2 linked regions of the Drosophila melanogaster genome follow. The main gene of each other region encodes a partner of the protein of the gene in region 2 in a complex. Each region holds a gene or a part of one and is shown on either strand. Other genes may lie near its edges.

Evidence for each region. The genes of interacting proteins can lie anywhere in the genome.
Region 1: Clp (region 2) and Cpsf73 share a complex: the UniProt entries of both Drosophila melanogaster proteins name them as parts of the cleavage and polyadenylation specificity factor (CPSF) complex.

What each region holds. Positions count from the first base shown.
Region 1 is NT_033777.3:18,658,959-18,667,365, forward strand, and holds Cpsf73 (cleavage and polyadenylation specificity factor 73), read right to left. Parts: upstream 4,595-8,407; 5' UTR 4,498-4,594; coding exon 4,430-4,497; intron 4,374-4,429; coding exon 4,212-4,373; intron 4,150-4,211; coding exon 2,858-4,149; intron 2,797-2,857; coding exon 2,354-2,796; intron 2,291-2,353; coding exon 2,201-2,290; 3' UTR 2,163-2,200; downstream 1-2,162. Other genes in the region: CstF64 (cleavage stimulation factor 64 kD subunit), read left to right, coding at 747-883, 947-2,069; Gos28 (golgi SNARE, 28 kDa), read left to right, coding at 4,838-4,859, 4,925-5,109, 5,651-6,039, 6,110-6,212; CG31231 (uncharacterized protein), read left to right, coding at 6,496-8,034, 8,103-8,199, 8,264-8,407. UniProt on the Drosophila melanogaster protein: Component of the cleavage and polyadenylation specificity factor (CPSF) complex that plays a key role in pre-mRNA 3'-end formation, recognizing the AAUAAA signal sequence and interacting with poly(A) polymerase and other factors to bring about cleavage and poly(A) addition.
Region 2 is NT_033779.5:818,439-823,873, reverse strand, and holds Clp (clipper), read right to left. Parts: upstream 3,911-5,435; 5' UTR 3,796-3,910; coding exon 2,905-3,795; 3' UTR 2,665-2,904; downstream 1-2,664. Other genes in the region: CG3662 (uncharacterized protein), read right to left, coding at 98-237, 305-1,016, 2,215-2,322; PGAP2 (Post-GPI attachment to proteins 2), read left to right, coding at 4,540-5,170, 5,231-5,367. UniProt on the Drosophila melanogaster protein: Component of the cleavage and polyadenylation specificity factor (CPSF) complex that plays a key role in pre-mRNA 3'-end formation, recognizing the AAUAAA signal sequence and interacting with poly(A) polymerase and other factors to bring about cleavage and poly(A) addition.

The DNA.
Region 1 (8,407 bases), on a different chromosome or scaffold from region 2:
TGTGCGCTCCTTCTTCCAATATACAAGCGAGCTTTTTATATGTGCGAGTGCGACTGCGAGGCCATCGCTGCGTTTATCTCCCTCTGTCTGTGTGTGTGTGCGTTTGTGTGTGTTGGAGTGCGTGTGGCTACACACAAAGTAATATTTTCAAGCACGTTTTTCATGCACTTCGAGCCGTTTTTTGTCTATTGCCGCATAGAAAACGAATAAACGCCACTTTCATCTACAATTTGGTGTACAATTCGTGCATATTGGTGCACTTTTCACTATCAAAAACCGTTTAAATCGTTTTCACCTTGCGACAAGAAAAATTACAACACCAGGCGTTGGAGTGCTGCAAAACGTATGCGGGCTGCGGGAACTTACCAGCACTAGCAGTGGTGGTATTTTTGGCTAAGCAGGGCATTTAGCTATTTTCTTGCTAAATACTACGTTTCTAAGTGATGGCAATGGATGAGAATCCCAAAAATTAGACCAATACTGTTAATTATTTTCTCAGGTGTTTAGATAAGAAAATAAAATAAAATGGCTTGCGTATCTGTTATTACACTTTGTTTAATATTTTGCGTCCCATACCGCTTTATTTCCCAAAAAGTATATGAAAAGTATGAATCCCTGGTAAGGGAAATTATTCAAGGAAGAAGAAGAAACAGCAAGCCGGAACGCAGGGAATTTTTTAGACAAGTTTGTCAACGTTTGCTAAGATTTTGTCGAGTTTGTGCAGTAAATAATAACAAACAACAGATATGGCAGATAAGGCGCAGGAACAAAGTATAATGGACAAGTCCATGCGGTCGGTTTTTGTGGGGAACATACCCTACGAGGCCACCGAGGAGAAGCTAAAGGAGATTTTCAGCGAAGTGGGCCCGGTCTTGTCACTGAAGTGAGTTCCCTACTTAGAGCCATGCAATATCTCACTGTAAACCTCCTATTCTCAATCCCCCAGACTGGTCTTTGATCGGGAAAGTGGCAAACCCAAGGGCTTTGGCTTCTGCGAGTACAAGGACCAGGAGACGGCTTTAAGTGCCATGCGGAATCTGAATGGCTATGAGATCGGCGGCAGAACACTGCGAGTGGACAACGCGTGTACGGAGAAGTCGCGCATGGAGATGCAGCAGCTGCTTCAGGGACCCCAGGTGGAGAATCCCTATGGCGAGCCCTGCGAACCAGAGGATGCTCCCGAGCTCATCACCAAAACGGTGGCTTCCTTGCCGCCGGAGCAAATGTACGAGCTGATGAAGCAGATGAAGCTCTGCATCGTGAGCAATCCATCGGAGGCACGCCAGATGCTAATGCTCAATCCTCAGTTGGCGTACGCTTTGCTCCAGGCCATGGTGGTTATGAGGATCGTGGACCCTCAGCAGGCGCTCGGGATGCTCTTCAAGGCCAACCAAATGCCCCCCGTCTTGGGCGGCAATCCGCACCAGGGGCCGGGGAATCACACCATGATGGGTCAGCAACAGGTTCCGCAACAGCAGGTGCAGATCCCGCAGCAACAGCAACAGGCTCCCCAGCCACCAATGCCCGTTCCCGGACCTGGCTTCCCGGCCAATGTCCATCCGAACGATATCGATTTGCGCATGGTGCCGGGTGGACCCATGCCGATGGATCCCAGGATGATGGGCCGTGGCATGGACCAGGATTTGCGAGCTTCTCTACCCAATCCAGTGCCACCGCCGCTGATGGATCCCCGAGCTCGTGCCCAGATGCCCCCACAGCAGCAGCAGGGCGTTCCGCAGGCGCCACCGGCCCCCTATCCCAGCGATCCGCGCCAGCGTCCCATGGATCCCAGGTTAAGGGCAGGACCTGGTCCTCAGCAGCAGGCGCCGCCACAAGGAATCCCCCAAGCGCCGCCACCGACACAACAACAGCAGGCGGCCGCTCAGCAGTTGCAGAGCAGACTAGGCGCCCATGGAGTCCTGCCCTCGGATGCCTCCGACCAGGAGAAGGCTGCCCTCATCATGCAGGTACTGCAGCTGTCCGACGAACAGATTGCGCAGCTGCCCTCCGAGCAACGGGTCAGTATTGTCATGCTCAAAGAGCAGATTGCGAAGAGTACCCAGCGCTGAAACTACTCTGGCTGAAACAAATGAAAAATCACCATTTCGCTCATGCATACTATAGTACTTTCAACATTGAATCAATTAATAAAAAGAACATTTCAACACAAGGAGATTTATTAAGCGGAATAGAATGGTTTTCAAAGAGCGGAGACTAGGGTCTGGTGTAACTTCTGAACCGTCGTATTGAGCATTTGTCGCAGCACATCATCCTCGGCACAGCTGATGGCCTGGAAAGATTGTAGATTAACGATATTTTTCGATTTTAAAAAGCACCTTCGACGAACACTCACCAGGGTTTCCAGATTTATTTCCGCACGTTTACCGCTCACCGTCACTGGCAGCAGATCGCCCTCGAACATTTTTGGCACGCAGTTGTCGCCGAAGGTGTCCTGTAGCGTCTCGATTAGGCACTCCCGAAAGCGCGAGTCCTCTGACTTGGTTTGCTTTGTGGCACCCTTCAGATTTGTTCCGCCCAACTCCGATTGCATGATGCAGGCAAGAACGGCATCGGCGTACACATCATTCACATGCGTCGCTTGCCACTCCATCACAATGATTTTCTGCTCCACAGTTAGCTCGATGCAGCCGAACACGCGCAGCTTTCGCTCCGCCTCCAGCACCTCAACGCATCCGGCTCCAATGCGATCCAGCAGTAGCTCTAGAGTGCTCAGCGAGCTGCCCCAGGGAATCGACTGGCGTTGGGTTACAACAGACATGCTCATATCCGTGTATTCTGTGGGAATTATTTAAATGAATCGACATTTTTACAAAGAAACTAACTAACTATTACTTACTGCCCAGATCAGAAGGAGCCAAGAGGTGGTACTTAAAGTCGCGCTTAACCAGAACACCTGAGAGTTTGCTTCCCACCTCCGAGTTCTTGGCTGCGAGGCTTCCCATCACCTTGGCGGTTTTCTCGCCACGGAAATAAAGATCCACGGCATGTGTGTTTCGCGGGTTGTAGAATTTTATATCCGTGCTTGCATCTGCTTCGTATTCCCGCTGCAGGGCCAACTTCAGACGCGACATCTCGTTCTGCTCGCCGTGGACGAGCACGACATGCGTTGGCTTTAGTAGGCGGATGAATTCACTGGTCTGCTGGTAGTCCGTGTGAGCCGAAAACGATATGTAGTCGACGGACATGTTGAGCGGCAGCTTCTGGCCCGACAGTGTGGTGATCTCCTCCGGCTCGGAGAGAACGGCTTTGGCCAAAGTGCCCTCCACGCAGTAACCGGCTATAATCACTCCGTTCTTGGGATCTGTGCACCAGCTCTCGAAGAGCTCTCGCGACAATCCCGACTGCATCATACCCGGCGACGCCATGATTACGCAGGGTCCGATATCCTCGAAGTGATCGATACCCTTCAGGTTGGAAATGTGGCGGAAAACGAAGGGATTGTTCACAGCTATCTGTCGTCGAATTCGATCGTTCATAGCATTGATGTACGTCTGGTAGACAGCCATGCACTTCTTGGCCAAAGAGGAGGCATAGTAGATGGGAATCTCGTGCAGATCCGGGTTCTGCGACCAGAATTCATCCAGAATAAGTAGCAGTTCTTGGGCACGGCCCAAAGCAAATACTGGAATTAAGCATCTCCCGCCTTGCTGAACAATTTTCTGCACCAGCGAGGTAAATCGATTCTCTCGATCCTCTCTTTTCTCGTGAATGTGAGTGCCGTAGGTGGACTCTGTGATAAGAACATCCGGCTTCATCGGTGGCACTTCGGCAGCCATCAAATGTCGATCCTCCTGGCGCGAAAAGTCACCAGTATACAAGATCTTGATGCCAGCAATCTCGATCATGAACATGGCGGCACCCAAAACATGACCAGCAATATAGGCACAAAAGCGTACGCCCATCACATCGCGCTCCTCGTGGAAATTGATCGTCTCGATCTTCTCCATGGAGGCCTCCAGATCGGCTTCCGTGTATAGCATCTGTTCGGTGGATATGTTACTGATCTTGATGTAATCGGACAGCATCCATCGGTAAATGGCTTTCGTGGCATGGGTCATAAAGCAGCGGCCTTTAAAGCTGGTCTTCATGAGAAACCAAGGCAAGGCACCGCAGTGATCCAAGTGGAAACTGATAAATATAAGCATTCACCATTAAAAGTTCAATGCCCATTTAATCGCCGCAGTACTTACTGTGATATAAACAGCAGATCAATCTCATCCGCCTCTATTAGATCTACGTAGGGCAGGGCATCCATGCCGGACAATCCCGGATGGATTCCGCAGTCCAGCATTATCTTCTTGCCCTTAAATTCCAACATGATGCAGGAGCGTCCCACTTCCTGGCCAGCACCACTGAAATATAAGCGTTACCCTTGAGCTTCTATCTGGTTTAAATCAAGATTCCTTACAGTGGCTTGATCTGCAGCAGGTCGCTTTCCTCGTCTGGCATGCGTGCATCACCTGTTGCCTGCGTCATGATGTCTAAAATAATGTAATCAATAACAAACTTTTTTACAAATCGCCGGCAACAAAACGCTGTGCACGGCAGTGTGACCAAAGTTTGATGACTGCCGGTATGGACCTGTTCACACAAGGGCTGGAAAAGAACATTGTACTTTTTCCTTTTACATTAACATTAAGTTATTAGGACAATTTAATTTTCTCGTAAACATTTGTTCATTAAGTAGGGCCTAGATTAAATCTGGCTATTAATCTTTCCCGATACTCTCAACTCATTCCACTTGGGCCCCGCCTGACCTGGTCACACCGATTGCCACACGAAAGTCGAACAAATAAAGGAAAACTATTTTTGACAAATGGGAGGATCCAGCTACGATGGTGAGCAGTGGGACTTAATGGTTACCTTCCATATAAGCTATCTCTCCTCTCGACCTCCCGCACAGTGCTCAGGAAGCAGGCGCGGAGCCTGGAAAACGAGATCGACCTGAAGCTGGTGGCATTCAGCAAAATCGGAGCTGGCAGTGGAGGAGGTGGAAGTGGAGGACTAGGAGGCGTTGACACATCGCCGCTCCTGGGCGAGCACGTCTTCGATTCGCTGTCGGAGGAGATCGAGCAAATGCTGGAGAAGGTGCGATATGTGACCCAATGCCATGCGATGGTGCAGGGATTAAACCCGAAACAATGTAGTGCGGATTCCTTATTTATTTATTAAGCAAATTTCTGTGCCACCGGCTTTGTGCTACTATGAATTACTAATTTCCCACTAAGCCTTCCCAAAAATCATAATTTAATTGGCAGAATTGAGCACACAATTGAAAAACTGCCACGATTAACTTATATATATTGAAAACATTCCATCACTTTCCAATTTTTTATGAATCTGTATATATATTATACTTTATTATTCGAGTTTTTTTTATGCTCTGATCTTTGCTAAATTCTTTAAAAGAAAATGTTTAAGAATTCCTCTTTGAATTCGCTAAATGAATTCCATTTGATAAATACTTTAATAGATAATTCCAAGTAATGAATGAGTCACCGACTGAAGCACAAAATGTTCAAATTGTTTTGCTTGTTAAGTTATCTACGTTTTTTAGGCAATTCCCATATCTATAGAATTTCTATAGAATAGAAGGATTTCATTTCTATTTCATCCTTCTTAATTGCAGCTATCCTCGCTAAATGAGTCCATGTCCGATTTGCCCGCCTCTGGAGCAGCCGCCATGCACACACTGCAGAGGCATCGAGAGATCCTGCAGGGGTATCGCCAGGAGTTCAATAAGATCTGCGCCAATCACACAATGCGAATCGAGCGAGAGGAGCTGCTTCGTGGCTCAGGGTTGGCCACCAGCTCCGGCAGTCCATCCATCTCGGGCCTAAACCGGCGAGAAATGTACCTGAAGGAGAGCGGGCACCTCAACAGCGCCAGTCACTTGGTCAACGATCAGATAAATATCGCGATTGAGACGCGTGACCATCTTCACGCCCAGCGACAAGCATTCAAGCGGCTGCAGACCCGCTTTAACGATATCTCCAATCGATTCCCACTGATTTCCAGGTGAGACAGACGAGTTCTCAATTCAATTTATGCATATTTACTTATCCAATTATTTGTTGTATATGCACAGTCTCATTCAGCGCATCAACATTAAAAAGCGACGCGATTCGCTGATCCTGGGAGCAGTTATTGGCTTCTGTGTGATCTTGCTGCTGCTCTACGCCTTCAACTAGTGACCCGCCACCGCGATTTGGCCAAAGATAGAGCTTGCATTAAACTCCATTACAGACAATTGAATTTTAGTTTGTTTTTTCCGACGGTATATGTGTATGATTAACTTGTGATAGCAATAAAATGTACTATATAAGACAAAACCCAACAGCCATTGATTCTAATCTCAAGCAGCAGTTAATAATTTTAGGCAAACAGCAAACATAACAACTTATGTATATACCAAAAAGAAACCCAAAACATTTAAAACATTTACGTTATTGAAACGACTTCAATTGCACAGAGATGGCTGAAAATGCACCAGAAGAGGCTGCCCCCATAGACAATGCCGAGGAGATTCCACCCGCGGAGATTCCAGCCGCGGAGGATGCTCCCAAACTAGTAACGATCGCGGAAGCGGCGGAGGGTGCAGAAATCCAAGGTGAGACAGCTAACGTAGATCAAATAGAAGGAGAAGGCGAAACGGTGTTGCCAGCCGAGGATGACGAAGCCTCAAAGGAAGGGGAGGAGTCTGGAGCTAAACACAAGGGTCTTGCTACCGCCGACGAACGAAAGCGCGAAAAGCTCCAGAGAATTAAGGAAAGGCTTGCCAAAAAAGACGAGGAAGAGGCTGCGAAGGCTGCGTTGGCTAAAGCTCCAATAGAATCTGAGGAGATGCCGGAAGACGAGGACAAGGAGGAACTTCATTCCGTGGAATCGGGCGGAGAGGATTCCGAAGATGACTTCGAAGATATAAAGGCCATCCTTAACGAAAAGCCCCCAAGCGTTGTCGTCGAAGAGGAAATCGAAGAGGATCTCGATTCGGAAGGCAGCTTTGATGAGCCCTTGCCCAGGCTGGGAGTGTCCATAAAGAGTGAGTTTATCCGCGGATTTGAAAGTTTGCCAAGCATATCGGATATATCACTCGATCCGGAGCCGGAACCAGAACCTGAACCGGAGTTAAGCGCTCAGGACAAATCCGACACCAAGGCGGACACAGATGATGGTGTATTTCACAAGGATGGCACAGATGCCGGCGAGGGCGAGTCGGGGAGCTCTTCGGGTTCCGATAAGGATGCTAGCACTGCTATAAATGCGGCGGCTGAGTCGGAAGAGGACGACGATTCCATTTTGATGGATGATCTGCCGGATGAGCAAGAGCCGACAGAAAAACAGGTCGTCATTGGGGAGGAAGTGGACACCATGGCCATGTTCACCGAGGCCGTCGATGCGGAGATGGAGACCCACCAGGAGTTGCACGTCCCCGTCGAAGAGCCCTTCTGGTATCGCCTCACTGTCGACTTCCTGAACAATCTTATCAATACCGTGGTGGAAAATGCGGAGAACGCCGAGAAGAACAAGGAGAACCTGTTGGACAAGCGCAAGATGTTGCTGGAGCTGCAGCGTCTGGTAGACGACTACACCTTCGAGAAGTACCAAAACACCCTCCTCAACAATGTCGTCTGTGACTACTTCCGTCGCAATCGCAAGTTCAACAACTTTCAGCCACTGCCACCGGAAGATGCTGCTGGCGAGTTTATTCGCTACATGAATGCCCTCAACTCGGTGGACAATCTGATGGAGCGGGTAAAGCTGATCAAGATCAAGAACGGACACAGTGCGTCGCGCGCCATGCTGGAGCTTAACTCGTATTCTGTTCTCGCCTTCAACGAAGAGCAGCGTCTGGAGGGATTCATGCGCAAGACCCTCATCCGCAAGGACATGGATCGCTTGAGGCGCGCCCTGGACAACGATCTTAGGCGCATGCAGGATCTTCGCAACCAGATCAGCGAGAAGCGCTACGAGCTCAACTTGAACCTTCACAACCTGGCATTTGTGGATGAGGTAAGGACGAATGATGCTAGGAACTTACAATCTTGTTGGAAAAATACGAGTATATTCTTCTCTCGCAGAAAGTGATGAAATTCGAGCGTGTTACCGAGACGCTGACCATTTCGCAAATGCTGTGCGCCAACGAATCCATAATACAGTTGAGCAAGCAACTAGAGGGTAAATTGATGAACTCTAGAACTTTAAGTTAATCGTTAAACTCACCTGCGTATAAATTGTATAGAAAAGTGCAAGGATGTTGCGGTCATGCAGTCGAACTACAAGAAGTCCATGATAGAGGAGACGTGCGTGCGTGAGAAGCGGGACATGATCTCCTACATGCTCTCCAAGGCGAGGGCCGAGTATATAGATCGATTCGAGCGGCGAA
Region 2 (5,435 bases):
TCTGTGTATGTATAAATCGATTCTAAGTAATAATTTGTTTAGGTTGTGTTATCATATGGGTGTTGTAGCTTAAAAGATCCTCCTCCTCCTCCAAAGCTCAGGCCTGTTGCCTAGCCTCGTTGGCCTCGTAGGCCTCCACCTCGGCGATGTTGGCCAGGTCGTACTCGATGACGCCCTTGCCCATGAACTCGGCGTACTTGGCTGACTCCGGCAGCGGATCAGCCGATCTCTTCGAGACTGTAATGGGTCGAGGAATGGGAATGGATCAGTAAGTTGCTGGCACCTGTAAGACATTGCTACTCACCGCCTGAGACGAACTTCTCCATCATGTAGACCTTCATATCGAAGCACTCGTTGGCAATCCGCTCCGAGATGAGCGAGACATCGGTGATGCGGGGCATGACCACACGCATCTGGCGCCGCACGCGCTCCGTATCTATGTTGTAGTAGCCAGTGCTCATCTTCTTTATGAGATCCACAAAGCTGGTCGGGGGCAGGGTCGTGTCCCGATCCAAGGGCATGATGAAGCACCGTCCGGTGGTAGTGTCGATAATGGCCGACTGGTTCTCCTTGAAGTCGTGCATGAAGCGACCACGACGTCCATCCTTGAAGTCGGGCACGTCCACGCGTGCGTAGCCCTCGTCATCGCTGTCACCGTCCAGTTCGATGTCCTCGCGGAAGTGGCTCTCGTCCAGCGATCCACTGTTGGGCATCGGTTGCGCGAGCTCGGGTAGCAAGGAGCGCCAGTTCAGGGCGAACGGTTCCACGGTGCGCGGATATACCCGCGCCATCTCCATCGAGTCCTCCGGATAGGGGATCTCGCACAGGGCGTGGTAGCGCATGCTGCTATGCGACGGAGCGTACACTCGGTACAGGGTCCATCCGCCCAGGACACCCAGGAGCATCACGACTACGGCGATCAGGAACAGCAGAAAGGATTTGATGCAATGGTGCTGCGGCCGGTTGAAGACCATGGATTCCGCGTCGGCTTCATTATCGCTGTAAGCAACCTTGGGCTGTGTGTGGAAAATGGGGGGTTTTAAAAATATGGGATACTCCTCTAAGTGTCACTTGCAATTTTGTAGGAACAACAAATTGCAATGGAAAAGTAGCAGTTTTATATACAATCTAAAGTTATCTAAAATGACCGACTTGTTATATCTGTTTCCTTATCACCCATTGTTCCAGTGGAAAGTCATAAAAACGACGATAAGTCGTAGAAAAATACAAATAGAAGGCAGTTGACTGTAATGTTGATAGTGGAAGTTCCACAAGTCGAAAGGTTTGAGCTTGCTGAATATTAATCACACATTTATATTTTCCGCCAGCTCAGCAAGATAATTTTTCACTGCAATGCCTTCTCTTGTTCTATAAACAATGCAATTGCATTGCTAAGTCAAAATTGTTTCGAAAGATACGTCGTTAGCGAGAGATTAGTCTAAGGAGGGGTCAGAAGAGATCCCCTTGCAAAAAATTAATCAATTGAAGGCATTTGCATGCACTAGAGTGGACCTTATTCGACTATGTAGTGCATAACTCATATGTAAATGTATGATTGTATATAAATCTCTGGAAAATTAGTGATATCTACACTAAATAAATAAACTGCAGATGGGCAAATATGCTGGGAGATGGGAGATGGGAGCTGGCAGCTGGGAATGATTGTGCTTATGACCAGCAAGCTGATAAGACACGACTTTCTCTGGATACCCGTGCACACGAATCGAGGTCAAAGTGCACAGTGTCAGCAGCTCACAAAGGGCTGCAACTGGCACCGTAAGTGGCTTTCCCCAGCCGTCAGGGCCAATCTCCACCAGCAACAGGAAAACCCTTCGCGCTGACCTCGGGGAGCGAGCGAGCGAGTCCTTGGCGCGGAAAGCCCAGGAAAGTGAATGGGCACACGTCACTTGGAGTGGAGCAGGGGTTGCATGCGGGCAGGGGGGTAAGGGGAAGCACGGGCCACAAGGACACCAAGGAGTGCGGAGCTTGGTCGGGGAAAAATCGATGGCGAGCTGCTGCTGCTGAGGCTGTAATTCGGAATGGATTCCGAATCGGAATCAGCACCAACCACCCACCCATCACGAGACTTGTGGCTCTCGGGCCGCAGGACGAAGGACACGGTGGCGGGCAGGGCGCGAGGGATGGACAAGGACATAGCACGATTGCGCAAAAATAAGGACACATCCCGCAGATGCGATGCCAAGCAAAACTCACTGCGATTAGGGAGCCATGGTGCATGAGCGCCTCGTCGTTGAGGTTCATGGGCAGGGGCACCTTCTCCTGGTCCGTGGGCTGTCCCCGCAGTTTTCCCAGAATTGTCATGGCTGCTCGTATGCTGTGTTCTTGATGCCTCCGCACGACCAACTTGTTTGTTTTTACTGAAAATTTAGTGCGCAATTGTTGACGAGCTGAAATCTCGATCCAGACAAGCCAGTGTGACCAGTTCTAATTCGCCTTTCAAAAGATGTGGACAAAAGTGAGGCAACTCTAGAGTGGTTGCAAACTTGGAAAAGACGATTCGCCGCCCAAAAATTCGAAACTTGAATCCGAAAAAAAATTGTGAGGCACAAATTGTTATCTTACAAACGAAAAAACATGATACATTTATATTTTTGGAGAAAACCCAAAACATACAACTAAACTCCCTTCCAAAACGAATTGCTTACTTGTATCTTATGGAAGTTTATTTCGCTGATAACACAATACGTTCTACTGGCAGTTCTAGGGACTTTTTTCAAAAATGCAAATGAGTTTCTTAACATACACTTTAAACACAGAATGATTGAAACGTTCGCCTGCGGAAGTTGGGAACCTACGACCTCTGGACTACACAGCGGACTATGCAGACCGCTTTCGACCTTTATTTCTGCACTCTTACAGTCTAATCATACAGAGCAGAGCGTCCTACTTATGACTATGTTGGTTAGAGAGGAAGGCGAGGTGACCCTTGGGACACTTGTTCGCGTAGTGGCCCTTGTTCCCGCACTTGTAGCAGGTGATCTCCTCCAGGGGCGTGGGCACCTTGACGAAGCCGGGACCATGCGGCTGACTGTGGTGATTGGATTGCATGTCATCGGCACCCTCGATGTGGCCGGAGTGTCCAGAGTAGCCGCCCGAGTGTCCGCCGGAGTGATCCATTGCGTTGATATTGTTGCGATGCTCCAGGCTGCCCACATACTGCTTGCACGAGTTGGCCTTGTGGCCCAGCTCGCCGCAATAGTGGCACGTGGGCAGTTTCTTGTGCAGCTGATCCTTACCCAGTTCCGCCAGCGGGGGCAGCTCGAAGTGCGGATGCATGTGCTTGCAGGACGGGCCCTCGGGGCAGAAGCCGGCTAGGTAGTCCATGCACAGGACACGGCGCAGATGCTGGTGCCGGCAGTGGGGACCGTGGCGGCAGAAGCCTCTCTTGTACCACGGACAATCCTTCACCTTGCTCTGCGGGTCGATGTGCAAAAAGGGACACTCTTTGTTGTGGCAGGCGTTGAACCTCGAGTAGAAGTAGCACTCGGGCATCTTGGTCATGTCGTACTCGTGCAGGAACTCGCACTGGTCGCCCTTCTTGCACAGTCCTCTCAGCCAGTGCTTGCACACGATCGTCCGGTCCCCGCGAATGTGTCGGAAGGGACAGGCGCTCCCTTTGTCGCACTCCTGTCCGTTCCTGGTGATGAAGTTGCAGACCGCCGCAATGGACTTGTCCATGCCGTAGAACGGCAGCGGGATGGCACCCACCTGCTCGATGAGGTCCCGCTCCGCCTTGAACTGCAGCCCACTTACGTTGGCCAAAAGGATGTCCATCTCTGACGGATTCGCGGATGCTCGGATAGATGAGGAAAAACTCCGAAATCTGGTAAACAATGCAGTTTCCTTCTTCTTTTTTTGCGCGTGTTTGTTGTTTCAGTGCGAATAGTGCTGACACGCAACCGGCGTTATCGATATCGATAGTTCGCAAGGCAAGACAGTCATGGCCGTCTAGCTGTTTATTAGCCAAATCTGTCCACTTCAGGGAATAGATATTTGTATATAAATATTTTTAGTCTCCAAATGTTTTTAATTTATAAGATTAGTCATAGTAAGAAAATACTTGTTTTTATGACCTTATTTAACTAAACCGCCATTAATAACATTTTAGCTATTTAGCTACAAAAGTAAGTTGATATTGGTCAGCACTGTTGGCGACTAAAGTATTACATAGAAATTAAGTATCCGCCCCGTTAGTGTTGCTGATAAAAGGGCTTATCTACAATGAACGAGCCAGTTTCAAAAATTTCACTTACACAAGAGCAACACTTGAATTGCTTCGAAATTTAAACATTAAACACTGAGTAAATTCGATAATGAACCACCCCCGCCGCCAGAGGCCGATAGTCAGCTGGTATCGATCACTTGTTTACAACTTTTCGCAATGTTTATAACGTAAGCAATCTGCGTGAAAAGCCATTAGTTAATTTGGGAGCGAGGAACTGAAAAATGAGGAGCGAGCGCCGCTGAAGAACCCAACCCGACCAACACCCCACGTAGTCCACCCACTCCAAAGGTCAAATGCTGCCTACTTACGAGCGCTTCAGTGATCCCAAAAGCGTCCTCTTCCGGCTTCCCTTTGCGCGACTGGCACTGGTGGCTCTTAGTTTGCCCCTGGGAGGCTTCTTCTTCTGCGTGATTTGGTCTCTGACCTTTGACTTCGTTAGGAGCACCTACACCCACTGCGATGTGACCAACTATCTGCCCTCCGTCTCGGCGGCCATTGGGAACTATGAGCCCCAAAAAACCGTCTGGAGACTGGCCATATTTCTGCATTTACCACTCCGTTTGGCAGTTGCCAAAATCTACTTGGAGCACTATCGGGAACACATCCGCCGGAGCAGAAGATTGCTGGGCATCCTGGCCTGCTTCTTGAACGTCGTGGAGGATCTGGCCCTCTTCTGCTTGTCGTTTTGGACCTCTGCGGATCATTACGAGACCCACAGAAACGCATTTGTGGTGTTCATTGCGTGTTCCGAGTGCTATATGCTGGTTTCCTACCTGCTGAACAGGAATATACAGAAGACCGTGCTCTTGCCGCACGAGGAGAAGTCGCTGAGGTACAAGAGAAATCTGTTCTTGGTGAATGTGATCGCCTTTGGCTTGGCAGGATACTGCTTCGTGAGGCACAACTCGCATTGCGAGGCGGGAGGTGAGTGGGAATCGGTTGTGAGTCCACTATTGTCTTATAATGAATCTTTTCTATCCACAGTCTATACTTTCTTCGCGTTGTTCGAGTACATCGTGGTGCTGACCAACATGGGGTTCCACATGACCTCCTACTGGGACTTCTACGCCCTGAATGTGGTGTGTGATGCCAAGCACGGTCTCTACCTATCACAATCGTAGACCAATGAACTAGATCAAACCCAGCCTGCGCCGCCATTTCAGCCAGCCAGTCGTCCTCGAGTATTGTG